3 linked regions of the Arabidopsis thaliana genome follow. The protein of the gene in region 3 interacts with the protein of the main gene of each other region in a pairwise test. Each region holds a gene or a part of one and is shown on either strand. Other genes may lie near its edges.

The links.
Region 1: the proteins of ARD4 (region 3) and VAP27-2 interact in a two-hybrid assay, tested with the Arabidopsis thaliana proteins (one large-scale study listed by BioGRID).
Region 2: the proteins of ARD4 (region 3) and AXS1 interact in a two-hybrid assay, tested with the Arabidopsis thaliana proteins (one large-scale study listed by BioGRID).

The regions. Positions count from the first base shown.
Region 1 is NC_003070.9:2,820,812-2,827,240, forward strand, and holds VAP27-2 (vamp/synaptobrevin-associated protein 27-2), read right to left. Parts: upstream 4,671-6,429; 5' UTR 3,763-4,670; exon of another isoform or gene 3,666-3,762; 5' UTR 3,602-3,665; coding exon 3,553-3,601; intron 3,087-3,552; coding exon 3,016-3,086; intron 2,887-3,015; coding exon 2,805-2,886; intron 2,410-2,804; coding exon 2,294-2,409; intron 2,202-2,293; coding exon 2,022-2,201; intron 1,831-2,021; coding exon 1,360-1,830; intron 1,284-1,359; coding exon 1,206-1,283; intron 1,113-1,205; coding exon 999-1,112; 3' UTR 543-998; downstream 1-542. UniProt on the Arabidopsis thaliana protein: May play a role in vesicle trafficking.
Region 2 is NC_003071.7:11,863,735-11,868,534, forward strand, and holds AXS1 (UDP-D-apiose/UDP-D-xylose synthase 1), read right to left. Parts: upstream 3,265-4,800; 5' UTR 3,110-3,264; coding exon 2,834-3,109; intron 2,676-2,833; coding exon 2,583-2,675; intron 2,482-2,582; coding exon 2,374-2,481; intron 2,095-2,373; coding exon 1,980-2,094; intron 1,905-1,979; coding exon 1,771-1,904; intron 1,683-1,770; coding exon 1,581-1,682; intron 1,472-1,580; coding exon 1,379-1,471; intron 1,290-1,378; coding exon 1,154-1,289; intron 1,063-1,153; coding exon 950-1,062; 3' UTR 543-949; downstream 1-542. UniProt on the Arabidopsis thaliana protein: Together with AXS2, catalyzes the conversion of UDP-D-glucuronate into a mixture of UDP-D-apiose (UDP-Api) as the main product and UDP-D-xylose to a lesser extent, via a cycle of oxidation and reduction.
Region 3 is NC_003076.8:17,626,618-17,630,979, reverse strand, and holds ARD4 (RmlC-like cupins superfamily protein), read left to right. Parts: upstream 1-1,616; 5' UTR 1,617-1,857; coding exon 1,858-1,869; intron 1,870-2,094; coding exon 2,095-2,182; intron 2,183-2,398; coding exon 2,399-2,493; intron 2,494-3,112; coding exon 3,113-3,352; intron 3,353-3,487; coding exon 3,488-3,616; 3' UTR 3,617-3,848; downstream 3,849-4,362. Other genes in the region: CLH2 (chlorophyllase 2), read right to left, coding at 219-488. UniProt on the Arabidopsis thaliana protein: Catalyzes 2 different reactions between oxygen and the acireductone 1,2-dihydroxy-3-keto-5-methylthiopentene (DHK-MTPene) depending upon the metal bound in the active site.

The DNA of each region.
Region 1 (6,429 bases), on a different chromosome or scaffold from region 3:
ACAAGCTATGTTACTTACATTTTTGTGATAATAGTTGTAATTGTGGTAAGAAAATAAATAAAGATAAAGTGTGGGAAGAAACACAATTATTTCATTGAATTTCTCCATGATTAAAGGGAATCATTCACTGCAACTTGGACATCCTCAAGTTTAGAAGAAAAAAAGATATTACATTTTGCTTGACTCTTTAGATCCATGTCTTTTGTTTTCAACTTTTCATATATCACGCATCTCTCGTTGCCTCTGTTTAACTAATATTCTTACAACTTATAATTATACCAATATGTGAAAAGACCCATTAGTTAGATTTGTGTTCTTTGTGATATGATTTCCATGTTGATGCTTACAAGTTACAACTTTCATTCATGTTTTTCTTTATTTTGTCATCTACGTGAAGGATGTGAATTTGAAAGGGAAAAAAAAAATGAACCAAACCAAACCAAAATGTCTACCCTCTTAAACGAAAATTGAAACGAAAAATCTGTTATTGTTGTTGTATTTTACGTATAACAATTAGTAGTGTTAGATTCTATTTATGTAAAACCGAACTTAGTGCAACCAAACCAAACTAAACCAAACAAATCTACGTATTCTTAAAATTGAATTAACCTAAAATCGAAATAATAAACCAGGCAAATAACCCAATAGTATTGGGCCAATACCCATCACTAGGCCCTAGCCCCTGCCTGGTCTATACGACAAAAGAAAACGAAAAAAAAAAGAAGGGAACGTAAGAAGAGACAAATCAATCCAACAGCTTCAAATTAGTAAGAGAAGCAGAGAAACAAAGCATATCATCATACCATATGTCCTTGTGTCCTTGTGTTAACTAACACCAATGCTATACAGTCTATCATATTCCATCTTAAATGTGTCGGAGAAATCATTCATCCTCTCCCACAAAGCAAACCCAAACAGACGAAATCTAATCCTTTTACCTTCTTTGTCTATATATCCCTTACTGCACACTTGATATGATATAGACACCGAGCGAGCAGTCAAGTGCGCAGAAAGTGCCCGATAACATAGGCAATGAATGCCACAACGCATACATACAGCAGAGGGAACCCATTGTGCACTTCTTTCACTATCTTCTTCGTTCTCAGTTCCGCCTGCATCATCATCAAAATACAAGCTTCGTTATTATGAAACTGTTTTGATTGTAGGAGAAAGAAACAGCTATGTTTTCTCACTAGCATTCTCACCAGCTCATGTTGCAAGCTTTGTCTATGTTGGGAGCTTATAGATCGCTCCTCCATTAGCTTCGAAATGGTTGAATCAGCCTGCACCAGATTTAAACTCTTTAGCACAGTTACATATAGCACGGAAGTTATGGATTTTAAAATTTGATAAGCAGACCTGTTTTAACTTGGATTCAAGAGCATCCACTTTCAGCTTCATCTCCTCAATGTCTTTAACCAACTTAAGTTCATCCAATCCTCTGACATTCTGGCCATCTGTTTTCTGCAGCTGGACAACATCTCTCTCCTTAGATATCTTTGGTTCACTGTCAACAGCTATTCCATTAGTAAACCCTTGATCCCTAGGTAGATCCATGGCCTTCTTCATGGGAGCGTCCAAATTAGTTGTTGCCTTAATCGCCCTTCCATCATCCGCATCCTTATGAGACCTAATTGGATCGAATCCAGTTTCTTTTGCCATCCTCGATGAATCGTAGCTATCTTTAGTTGCCTTCAAGTCATTAGCAGTATATCGATCTTCCACAAAATCCACTGTGGCCATTTTTGGTGTCTTTAACTCCTTTGCATTGTCGGCTGCCTTTAACTCATCATGTCCAACCATCCTAGGCTCTTTTACAATCTCACCCTCCTAGAAAAATAAATTTTGAGAATAAACAAATAACTACAAGAAAATCCCTATTGCACCCAATAACTGTGATTATAAGCTAAGCTAAAATGAACTTGCTGGAACATAACTACACTCACTGCTTGGCAAATTACTCTTCATCTTACTAACAAATCATAAAAGTTGTTGCGAAAAGGGGTAAATACTCTTCTTACATATTGTGGCGGAGCTAGGGTCTCTGACTGGCTATATAAACGATCCTTGAGGATGGAATCTTCAAATACTGCTCCCTGCTTCGGTGTATTGATTGGAGATAGTTCAGGTGAGTCAGAGGGCGGTACGAGCGTGACCCTGAGTTTGTTCTCCTCTATGTGTTTGCCTTCGGCTTTCGAAAACTGCCAAGAATAAATGAGTGTACATATATACTTGACAGACCAAATAACTGAAATTAATGATAAAGAAGGTCAACAAGTGTTGGAATGCTTACCATGCTAGCTGTGATGTCTTCATCAGTTGTTTCCGCAGATACAGCAGTACTCTGGATTAAGAATTTGTCTTTGCAAACCATATCTGGAGGTGGTTCTTTAAAAGCTTGCATAATGACTGCATAAATAACATATACAACTCAATAACCCAAAGCATTGACTGAATTTGAATTTCAAGAACCCATTCATCATCAACCAGTTTAAAATTTTGAATGCTCAAACAAACCCAAAAATGCAGGTTCCACGTAATGAGTAATAACTTGAACTTTAATAATTCCATCCGGAGCAGATACCTTCTCTCTTGAACAACTACACTAAACTCTAAAAGCCTAGGATCTTAAAACAATGTCCAAACGCTGTTTAAGTCCAAGGGACAAAGGACAGATCTATACATATATTCCAGTTCATTTCCCGCCCCATGTAGACATCATGCAACAGTTTATCACATCGGCCTAAGAACGTCGGTGCAAGAAATTCAAGCATTGCTGGGAAGAATATAAAAAGTAGGCATACCAGTGAATTCACAGGTTGATTTAGGTGCAACAACACCAACATTTGGACGAACACAGTACTTCTTTGGTGATGTGGTTTTAACCTGTCAAAAACCACATCTAGTTTAGGTTTGTATACAGAAAGAATACTTTTTCTCAGAAATTTTATAAGATATTCGAAATCCTGAAGCCAGAAAGAAAGAGAAAAAGTTTGAGAAGAATCTTCTTTAGACCTTAAATGCAACATAATGATGGGTAGTATTGGTTAGCTGTACCACGCAGGAAGTTTGCTTCTTCAGGTCAACTACAAAAGATGAAACCAGTTAGTATTACAAGGATAACAATGCCAAGGCAAAGATATTCCTTTTACAACTTCCATATTTTATTATAGATCCTCAGAATCGATATGAGAGGTAAGAAACCACATCACAGAATGTCAGCACATACAAATCCAGTAGCAGGAAAGAGTTAGAAGATTCCTCCAAACAACAGCCACATTAACATCACATCAATTCATCTTACAGGAGAATAGACCCACAAACAATAGCACCACTATGATAGAATTCTAACGAAATAGTGAGAATTCAGAAAACTCGGTATTCATAACTGGAACATGTTGGCCACTTTGCTTAAGGAATAACACACCCTCGCTATGAAATCCACATTTTACAAAAAAATAAGAAACTATTAACGGGACCACAGTGTCTACTCACTGGAACTTAAAAATGATCATTTTACAATTGATAAGAATCAGTCCCCTTATATCTTACCTGCAAACTGCAACGTTCGTGGTTGAATATCCAACAGCGGCATATTCATGTTGCTGTGACAAAATGACTCAAGTATCAAACAGCTACCACTTGCAGCAGGATTCTCTCCACCCCTATTTCAACAAAAAAATAATAAGAGAAAGATCAGCCCAGAACCATTCAAGTATGAAACTGTCGACACTAGAGCGAAAAACAAACTCAGATCTATACTCTATTTGGGACAATCATAAACCCGCTCTCCCATTGGGAACATGACGAAATCTAACCAAACAGTCAACAATCAGAAAAGTTTCTCTGTTACACTCTTTCGAGTCCGGATTCTCGTCTTCCGTCACCATAAACAAACCACCGCACTAACTCGTCGACGACGCGTTCTCAAATCTGACGATACGAACTCGCCCGAAGACTCAAACGTGACTATATTTTACCTTAATGCGCTCGTTTTTTCTCAGCGATCCGACCGACACAATTTTTTGGGCAACGCGCTTTCGACTAGCCGGAAAACCAAATCGTCCTAGTCCCCCAGTGTGATCTAGTTACGCCACCACAGGCCTGATAGTATTAAAACAAAAGGGCGAAATAAAACGACGACGTTTACGAGGAGCGACTCCTCGGGATCCGGTAGCCAATAGTAAACTCAGATCACATAGATCTTCCCGAGCCCTAGCGATTTCGATTTCTAAAGCAGATTCTAAAGACAAAAATCAGGAAACTCGAGGAAGAGGAACCTAGTTTCGAAACAAAAACAAAAACCAGAGAAGAAGATGATCAACGAGAATGATGAAATCGGAAGGAAACCTTACCGTCTCTCCGACGAAGAACTAACGGAACGGAGCTTGAGATTGAGCGACGAAGAAGCAGCGATCGAGAGAAAGAGAGAAGTGCAAAAACTAATCTTAGTGAAGGCCAAGTATGGAAATGTATTAATGTGTTCAAACACATTAAAATTGAATTTTTTTTTAAGAAAAAGTATGGTACTGAGATTCAGAGATGGTGAATATCTGTTGTACCTAACAGCAATTTAGTAAACTATAATTTCTGACGACTATTTTTCGATACTTTTGTAACAATTATCGTAAAAAACAAAAAATTAAGTGAGATTACATTCGACGTTAGATGCCAGAAATAATATATATATGTGATTGTGAATATGTACCTTTTTTTCTTTTTTCAATGAGTGTAATATGAATGCTTTGAGAGGATTACACGCGTGATTCTGATTCGGATCACCAACTTCTTTTGCTTCCCTTTTAATTTCTTTCCTATCTTTTGCTTTTCCCATTCATCTCTCTCGCTTTCCACAAAGGCGAGATTTGAATACGTAATCCTAATTATACTCTCATAGAGATTTGGTAATTTGGCCCAAAATATCTTTCTACTTTGTAATATGTCGATGCATAGAAAACATAATCTTATTCTAACATTCACAAATCTCCTATATTTCCATATTGAATCTCTCAGTCTGGATCGGTTTGTAATCTCTGTCCAGCTACCTCTTACGTTTCAGGTGTTTCTATGATTTATCCATTGGCTTCATTGGCTGCCTATAACTTATATATCATGTTGCAATCTTTGTGTGTGTTGTGTTGGGGAGAGCTTATAGCCGGCCGCTCCTCCATTAGCTTCCAAATGGTTGAATCAGTCTGTATCAGATTTAAACTCAGTGATAGCACCCACGTTATGCATGATTTTTAAGATTTGATAAGCAGACTGTTTTTAACTTCAATTCAAGAGCATCATCCACTTTCGGCTTAATATCCTATATTAATTTCTTTAACAAGCTAAAATGAACATAATGAAAATAACTACACTCACTGATTGGCAATTACTAATATCTCAAAACATTAAGAAGTATTTTTTTTTTTTTTGGGTGAAAAGTCACTGTCTTTTTCTTAAAGCCAAAATTTATACGGAACGACAAAACAAAAAATATGACTAAAAACTTCTTAAGCGCAATCACTGACCATGCAGCCTATTTTAGTTTTTAAGTCTTTTATATACATTGGCTGTTATAGTCGTAAAACAATCAGGTATTTGTTATGGAGATAACAATTTGGGAACGCATAAATAGTGCCTCTGATGGTTGGAAGTGGAACAAAATCACAATATTTTTTTCTAGTGTATAAACAACATACAAATATCATGTCACCTGCAAAGAGAATAATATGCCAAAATTTTGATATAATACGCATAACAGAGTTTATATATCAACGTTCTAGACTTATAGGTGATCATCCATTATCTTTAACCTCTTGTAGCTAGCTAGGTTAATTAGGAGATGCATGCATCTAGATAGGCATATATAGTCTAACATTACAAATCCATCAAAGGTTCCCTTCTTCTTCTCCAAAGAAATTAGCTACATACAAATTTGACAGACTCTCATAAATATATATATATATGTTTATAGATTATATTATTAAAAATACAAATGATATTTTCTGTATTTTGTTAAAATTAGTTCTTAAGATTTTATGAAATTTATAATTGAGCCAACGTCTTAGAAATAATTATACGACATACGTAATTTAAATTCAATGACGATGACTTAAACTTAATGTTTTACAGTATTTATCCAATCAAATTTTACCACATCAGCAGAGAAGAGTCAAACTTAGGAAAAGTCTATCTTGGATTATCCTGACGTGGCTTTTTTCAAGTAAGAAATAAATTAATGCTAATCACGTACGTACCTACCCAGCTTTTGGACCTCGTGGGCTATATAGAAAACAAGTAACCAAAGAGAGACGAAGCAAAAACATTCAGAGAGAAAATTCAGCATTTTTGATAGCTCAAGCACTTGATTCTTTCCAAAGGGGTTTCCTGAGGTATGTTTGCTTTCCTTTTTGGTTTTAATTTGTTTCAAATCTTAGATCG
Region 2 (4,800 bases), on a different chromosome or scaffold from region 3:
TTCCAATAGAAATTTTTACTTGACTGTATTGGTGAATCGTTGAGTGACTTATGAGGCTTTTGGCATCTTAAAATTTTTGGATTATTATAATATATGTTATGTTGTCATTTTGGAGTGTTAATGGGTTTAAATGAAATATGATTTTTGCTCTTTTCAAGTTCATAAAATTTCGAAGTTGCTGGCTGATTCATGATAAGTACTATACAATGTCGATATGTTATGATCTAATCTTGATCGCAATACTAAGTAGATGGAGTATATTAAATCAGAAATAGTTGAACTAGAATATGCTCTAACAATGTATTTTATGTACATGAGTTAGAAAGAAAGAAAAAAAGACTCATTTTCTTCTAGTTTGCTTTGCCTTCATTGAATTAAAAATTCAGTGAAAACAATTCAAAATATAAAAATAATGATAATGCGTCTGCCGGGAGTCGAACCCGGGTCTATTGCTTGGAAGGCAATTATCCTAACCGTTGGACTACAGACGCTACTTGTGATTTATATATTACAATTTAAAAATAAAATCGAATTTAATTGTCGAGCGTTCCAAAACTACTAGACTTTCTTTCATACTCTGTAGTCCACTTGTTTTTTTTCTGAACGAAACACAATGTGTTACTTGACAGAAGATAATTACATTTGTTCTTGTACTTGTACACATGTAAAACGAAGCATTTTAAAATATACACTCGAACATTTATCATTCGCTACAAACGATTAACCTCTTGCTTTCTGACAGCTCCGACATACATGGCCAAACAAACCAAACAAAAAGAGAAAACTTACAAACGAAAAGGTATACTTGGAACGAACCACCGTGATTATATCGTTTTCTTAAAAAGAAAAAAGAAAAAAAGTTTTCTCTGGGATGAAAAAAATAGAATCGAATAGAGTAAAATGCCAAAATGACGCGTGTTTAACGAGTTTCGTTGGGGTCTTGGAGAGTTTAGGAAGCCACTGGTTTGGATGTTGCCTTCTTCACAGCTTCAGCGTATGTCCTGTGCTGGTAGGTTAAGGTCGACTCGAGCAAGTCCCATAGCGATGTTTTCGGGTTCCATCCTATTTTCAAAGTCCAAAATTCTATCAGAATAGCAATTGATTTTGATTTTAAAGCATATTATCTATCATGTTGGTGATTATGAAGAATTACCGAGTTGGCGGTTAATGATGGTCATGTCTGGGATTCTCTTGTCACTGTCATCATAACCTTCCCCGTAAAACTCTTTGGAGCTAACATCAACCGTTGGGCTCTCAATGGCTCCTTCTCCACTCACTTTTGCGTAAACCTGAAACATGATTCGTTTTGAGAATTGAGAACCAGCGACAGAGAAATCAAACTATTTTCATAGTTTCCTAACTGATCCATCTTCCTCACCTCGGTCATCATTTCAGCGAGCTGTCTTACTGTAACTTCGTTGTTCGGGTTGCCTACGTTGAAGATGTGCCCATTTGCCCTCTCTGGGTTTTCCTGAACCACAAACATACAATGTCATTATAGGTTTTAGTTGAAACTACTTCGAACTTCTAACATTAACAGTTTGTAAACAAAAAGCTATATATCAGGCAATGGAACGTACAATCATCAAAAGGACAGCTTCAATAGCATCATTGATGTAGACGAAAGTTCTCTGTGATTCTCCACCATCTACAAGCTTGAGAGGCTCACGACGTAGAAGATTCTGAAAGATAGATAGAGATGCATTAACTAAAAGCTTGCATATATACACAGACTAGCATTGGGTTATATACTTGGATTTGAACACTTACGTTACTAAAGCAGGCAAGGACACGTGGGACACCTTCGCTAGGACCATCAATGCCGGGGATGAAATCCATCCTAGGTCCAATCCAGTTAAAAGGTCGTACGATGGTGAACTCAAGCCCATTCTCAGCACCCTCAGCTGTCACAAGAAACAAGTGAAGTTAAGTGTAAACCTTTTGTTTTTACCAACATCATCTTAAACAGAAATGCTTACCGTAAACAAGTCTCTCAATCAGTTGCTTTGCACACGCATATGACCACCTCTGCTTCTCAATTGAACCAAATATGCAAGGGGAAATATCTTCTTTAAGAACATAGAAAGCAGGATCCTGTAGAAAGGCACAACAAACAACATCAGTAAACAGTGAACCCAACCTTAGACGAATAATATCAACTATTCCAAGCTTCTATGGGTGTGTGATAGACTAGCGGACTAAAGTCTTAATTCAATTCAAAAATACGTTTAACGAGATCCAATGAGTAATTCATAATGTGGCTATTAAAACGAACGAAAACGTCAGCTTCAACATGTTCCTCAGTACATTCATCGATGAGATTGATAAAAAGACAATAACATGTGGAAAGCGAAATGTACAAAAAGGCATTACATCACGCAGAGGATGATCCTTAGGAAGAAAGCTTCCAATGGTTTTTCCATAAACTTCACAGGTAGAAAAGTGAATGAGACGCTTGTTGTTCTCAGAACAGTATTTCACCTAACAAAACCAACGCATTACACAATCATCACTGTCTCCATCAACTTCAAAAACAAGAGCTAAAGCAAAACAATGAACGAAGCTAAGAAGAAAACACATACAACTGGAAGCGCATCAATGAAATTGCTGTAGATAGTATCAAGAGGACGTGTATTGTAATCAGCTGGAGTACAGATCGCAGCAAGATTTATAATCTGCGAATCCAAAAAGAAACATCAGAATTACATCACAACATCACCGATCTCAATACATTGCGAAACATCTGAATTCCGATAACGAATCAGATCTGAGACTTCTATCATAAACACCGAAGAACAAGAGATCAAAAAACGAAATCGATAAGCATTTTTACCAGATCCGCCATCTTAACAAGACCTTCAAGTCTCGAATCATGCTTAATATTGATACGATGAAACTGGATCCGACCACTCCATTCAACGGTATCAGGCTCAAGCAAGTGTTTGATCTTATCGTTGTAAACATCGAGCGCAAGCACCTTATGTGGCGTCTCGGTCAAGAGCTTTTCACAGAGATGTGAACCGATGAAACCTCCGGCGCCGATCATGCATATTGTCAACGGTTGTATCGGTTTCCCGTCGAGATCCACTCTATTAGCTCCATTCGCCATTTTTTTTCTCAGATCAGAAAAAATAATCAAGTTCTCTGTAGAGAGAGAATCTAAAGAGGAAGAGAGAGTGGTGACGGTGGATATTTAAGAGAGAAGATGCATCGCATGTGAACGGAGGCAAATTGGTTCGTCGAATTTTGAAATCTCACTCTCTGTATCGGCGCGTGGTGTGTACTCGCTTCCACGTGATCTCGTTTAAATTGGAAAGGATGCGATATTTTATTTGTTCGACTAATCATTTTGTATGATTATTAATTATGAATGTTTAGTAGTCTAATAATTGTGTTTAAGAGTTAAGAAAAAACTTCTTTTTAACTAGATAAATCGTTCTTTGTAACTTTCGATTTTTTTTTTTGGGTAAGCCAAGGGAGACAAAGTCTCCCAAGATTTATTAATGAAAAAGAAAATTACATTCGCACTTGACGTGAAACCGTAGCTCCACTAGTGTCATCCAACAAAATAAAACGTAAAGAATCCGGAACCAAACTAAGAGAATGAAAACCTAATGGTAACGAAAATGCATAGTTGGCTAACCCGTCAGCAAGACGGTTAGCTTCCCTATAAACGTGTGAAATACGGACTCTCCAGTCCCTTGATATGAAGTCATGGCACAATCGTACCAGGAAAGACAGCGGATGTACCTCGTTTATCCCTATCTTCAAAAAACCCACAACAATCTCTGAGTCCACCTCAATCTCTAACCGTGTGACTCGTCGCTCCCAAGCAATGTAGAGGCCATAGTACACTCCCCATAGCTCTGCCAAAGGTGCTGAACAAACTCCAATGTTCAGAGCAAAACCTCCTCTCCAAGCTCCTTCCTCATCTCGTAGCACACCACCAGCAGACGCTAAACCCGGATTACCTCTGGAAGCCCCATCCGTATTAAGTTTCCACCAACCTTCCTCGGGTTTCGACCACGCGATCAGTCTTTCCACCCGTTCTCCATGACCCCCACTCAGTGTCCTGACTATCACATGAGCCATGGACGTCTCCCTAGCCAGATCCTTTAAGAAACGCACCCGATCTCGACATTTGTCTTGAACACCAAAAATGTTGCCACACCGCCATTTCCAGGCCCACCAAATAGACAAAGCAAATAAAGTTGACCAAGTACTCTCACAAGTCTTCCGCCTATCACCCAGATTAGCAAACAACCACTCCAATAACGATTGTGTAAAGAACTCTCGGCGCTTACCCGCAGGAACTAAGCGGATCCAAATGCCTTCCATAGCAGGACAATCACGAAGAATATGTATGATTGTTTTTTCAGCTCCTTTACAGATTTGGCAAATGTCCGAATCACTTAGATGCCTCCTCCTCCTCTCAGCATTCGTCATCAGAACTTGCTGCATTCCAAGCCATAGGAAGAGCCGCACTCTCTCCGGTACCACGACTTCCCATACTCTCTTGTAATTTCCGATTGATATCAAGTCAAATTATTAATTTTTATATTGAAAAGACATTTGGAGTATTTTTTTTGGGTTATTATTTCTGATAAAATCAAATTTACATTGAGAAGAATGGCTTTGGGGAATCAATACAAAAAGTCTTTTCTACGTAGAAGAAAACTTGACCCAGCAACATTAGAGATTCCATTTTGCATTACGAAACTTAAACTGGTTAGGAAATAATTTAATTATTTGCCCAAAAAGGGAAATAATTTAAACAAAATATGATTTTATTGACGTTAT
Region 3 (4,362 bases):
AAACTATACACTGGATTTAACAATTCCGATAGTACCATTTCCATAAAAATAACTCATAACATTTTACTAATTAAACAAAAACTATACACTAGTTTGACCCCCCAAAAAATAATTTCTATACTAAATTACTAATACACATAGGAATCTAAAACTAAACAAGAATTTCAGTGGCTAATTAGTTCCTGAACTAATGTAATGATTGGAAATTGAAATTGAACCTGAGGAGCGATGAGGATGAAGCCATGAGAAGAGACATGCAACATAAGCTGAGAATAGAAGGAGTTGTAGAGAAGGTAACCATGGAGGAGCATCACCACCGGATAATCTCCTTCCTCCACCGGCGTAGCCACCAACAGCTGCTTTGGCGGAGACGGTGAAGCTCTAGAAGACGGTGTTATTTTGCAGCAACGAGATGATGAGTCCAAGGTTAAGAGATTTGATTTGTATTTGCCATCTTCAAAGGCGTTTCTTGATGAAGAAGAGGACATTTTTTTTGTTCTTTATTAGTTTTTCTTTTCTTTACTTTTTTTGTTTGGTGGGTTCATGAGAATGAGGTGAGTAGAGATATTATTAAAAGTTATAAGAAGTATGGCCGTTGAAATCTTGGTTAATTTTAAAGAGCACATAAACAAAATCAAATAGAAAAAAATTACTTATGTTAAATTACTTATATTATTGGGGTTGGTGTAATGATAAATCTTCCAGATGTAGATATTGGATTAAACGTCTGTTGAAAAGAATCTATTTTCTAAAGAATATAAATTTAACTTGTGTCCCATCTCTAAAAAATATAAGACCTTTAAATTTAAACTTCTAAATATTTTTTTTTAAAAAACAAATCAAATAGAAAGAAATTACTTATGTGTGCATGGAATATAACAACTACAATCATAAGGCCATATATTCATAGTCTATTTTCAGTATTGAAACCTGATTTTTTCTAATTTTGGGTAATAAATTTTATGAAGTCTTTTTATTATAGTCTAGTTAAATTTCTCTATATTTAAACAAAGTCAGATCCTATATATATGAGATTTTTTGGAATTTTAAAAAATATTTAAATTCAAACAAAATAATTGGAGATTTGAATTTTTGTAAGAAAGTTACTTTGTGTTTCAGATTAAATTTAATAATAAATGGTCAAAAGATTTATGACTAAGAAGTATTAAAAATTAAAATATAGAAGAGAAAAAAATTGATATGATATGATATGCTCTTAGCAAAAAAATAAATTGATATGCTGTTGCTGGGTACAAGGAATGGGCTTTGTACTTCATACTAGACTACTTTTTCTCTAGTCCAATTTAAAAAAAAAAAAAACATTATATAACATTCGAGACTAATTTAAAGTGTTAAACGGCCCAATTTGTATTACACGGCCCAAGTTAAAGTGTTAAACATTACCTCATTACCTATGTACGATTTGTGGAAAAAAAATATATATACCTATGTACGATTTTGGATTACATTTTTTTTTTCTAGTTAAAACTAATTTCAAGTTTGAAATATAAATTATATATCTGAATATAGATCATTCTAGTTCAAATCAGATGGAAATATATGAACCTCAGAAAATACAATATCATACAAATGAGCCAATGTTTTGGTCTTATTCATTCATGATCATTGTGGCTCGAAAACGGTTGTTTTTTTCGTGCAAAAGAAAAAATAACGATTTTTTATTATTAGAATTTCGAAACCAGAATTAATAAAAATTAGGAGAAAGGAAAATAATACGAATTAAAGTGATCGTACACGTGGCTATCATCGACGGAGGAAATAGCCATTTATTTATCTGATCTTCATCACTCTGATGAGTCTGAAATCAAAAAAGCATTTACACAACGAAGATCATTAATGGCTCTCGAGGTGAGTTCTGATTCATAGGTTCTAGATTCTGATTTCGAATCTCGATTCGTTCAATAGTGATTATCGTTGCTCTTTCGGAATTATTTTGGGGATTTGATTTGATTTTGGCAGAACTGAGAATTGGGATTTGATTTTACCGTTTTGCAGCTGAAATTGAAAATTGAATCAAAAGTTTTTTCTTGAGATTTTTTTCTTTCCCTGAGGCTTAAGTGTTGATTGATGCAGGCATGGTTTATGGATGATAGCAATGAGGACCAGAGACTTCCTCATCATCGTAACCCGAAAGAACTCGTCTCGTTGGATTACTTGGCAGGTCTTTTCAATTCTCTACCTTAAAAATTACTCTTACTTTGCAACTTTTGAAAAACATCAATCTTTCATGCTTTATTGTATTGAGTAGTGATTCTACATGAGGAAACTAAACGTAAACCGTCTTAAAACTAAGGAAATGGTCAAATTTACCCAAGATGAGATTTAACAGAATCATAAATTATGCAAATATCACAAATATAGTTGTTGTGTTTTGTAGAGTTGGGAGTGTTGTACTGGAAGTTGAACCCTGAGAACTACGAGAATGATTCTGAACTTAGCAAGATTAGAGAAGACAGGGGTTACGATTACATGGTACGCATATTATCTCTTCCTGATCACTGTTTTTTCTTAACTTAGGAACACTCATGCTCATCATAAATGCCAATTGAATGTCTCTGTTTTTTAACTTGTTGCATATCGTTGCATGTTGATCTCATGAGATTAACGATTGTGACATATACTAGACACAGTAGGAGTGTAGGACTACATAATGAAGGTAGTACTCAAACCTTACAAAACCAGCCTATGAAGAAAGAAGCCTTATGAGTATTAGAGTACAGGATTTGCTACGGCTTATGTCTTTCTGATCACCCTTTTTTAACTCATGCTCACCATAAGCGGCTATTGATGTTTCAGTTCCTTTACTTGTTATCTCTGCACGCTAATCTCATGAAAAAAAAAAACATGTATCATAGGACAGTAGGACTATAATCTTGCATAACCATTAAGGGGTAGTATGACTACAAACATTTTAGAAACCAGCTTATTAAGGAAGAAGGCTTCTCTGTAATTGAGTATTAAGGGAACATTAAAACGTTTGGTTTACGTTAAAAATAATTAAGCTATTTGTGTGGTGTGTAGCATTGTAACTTATGAGCTATAAACTAATTTTCTCAAGCAGAATGATTACTTTGGTTAATCTTCATTTTAGGATTTGCTGGATCTGTGTCCCGAGAAAGTCAGCAACTACGAAGAAAAGCTGAAGAACTTTTTCACAGAACACATTCACAAGGACGAAGAGATTCGGTACTGCCTAGCAGGAAGTGGCTACTTTGATGTTAGGGACAAGGATGATCGTTGGATCCGTATCTGGATGCAACCTGGCGATCTCATTGTCCTTCCTGCCGGAATCTACCACCGGTTCACACTCGACGCCAGCAACTACATCAAGGTACAAAAAGCCAAACTCAGTCTCTATACTAATTTACTAATTTATATGAATACGCAAATGAAATATTACATCTTAATATCTTATGTTAAAAGATTTGATTGTTGGTTTGTGATGTATGGTGGTTTGGTTTTGCAGCTAATGAGGCTGTTCGTGGGGGAACCGGTTTGGACACCATATAACCGGCCACAGGAAGAACATCCTGTTAGGAAAAAGTATATCCACGGCTTAACCTACAAGTTTGGAGAAACCGTTAAAGCACATTAACAATATTAATATATGCTTGTTGTGTAATTTGTATGTATTGTTTACTCTTTAGTCTTAAGCAGTAAAATAAAAACAGCGGCTCCTTCTGGATAGTTGTTCTTGTAACATACTTTTGCGATGTATGCTTTTATACATAAAAAAAATAGTGTGTATTTATCTAATAAGTATCATTAAAAAACAAATGTCAGCTGCGAACGTGAAATTTATAACTAAAAAAACCCTACGATTTTCGAATAAATTATTTGAGCTTTCCAAACTGTAATTCAAGTATTATTACTTATATAGTGTTAGTGTACTTCAAAAGTTAAAGCATAAATTTTCTTATATTTGAAATGACCTCTTCTTTACAAAATCTTCTTAAAATTATGCATTATCAATATATTAATTGTATATATATATATAATGTATAATTCTGCTTGTGTCGTGCTTAACCGTTTGATTTGGTGTGGTTAGATCTGGTTTTCCCCCAACCCAATTCAATTGAATCAAGGATCAATCAAATTTTCAAAGGATACTCTTGTTCTCTACACAAATCTTTCAAAGGGTTCCACCAAAAATCCCATCATTCTGACTTCAGAATAAACAAACAAACCACGAAACGTATCTCTATGCATTCACTACAACGTGTCATGGGCGAAAACGAAGCTTATAAATGTTGGAGCATAGTCACTAAATTTATAATGATTAATTAAATTTTAGATTTTCTGATATTCATAGAAGACAAAAGAACACAAAAGTAGCATCTT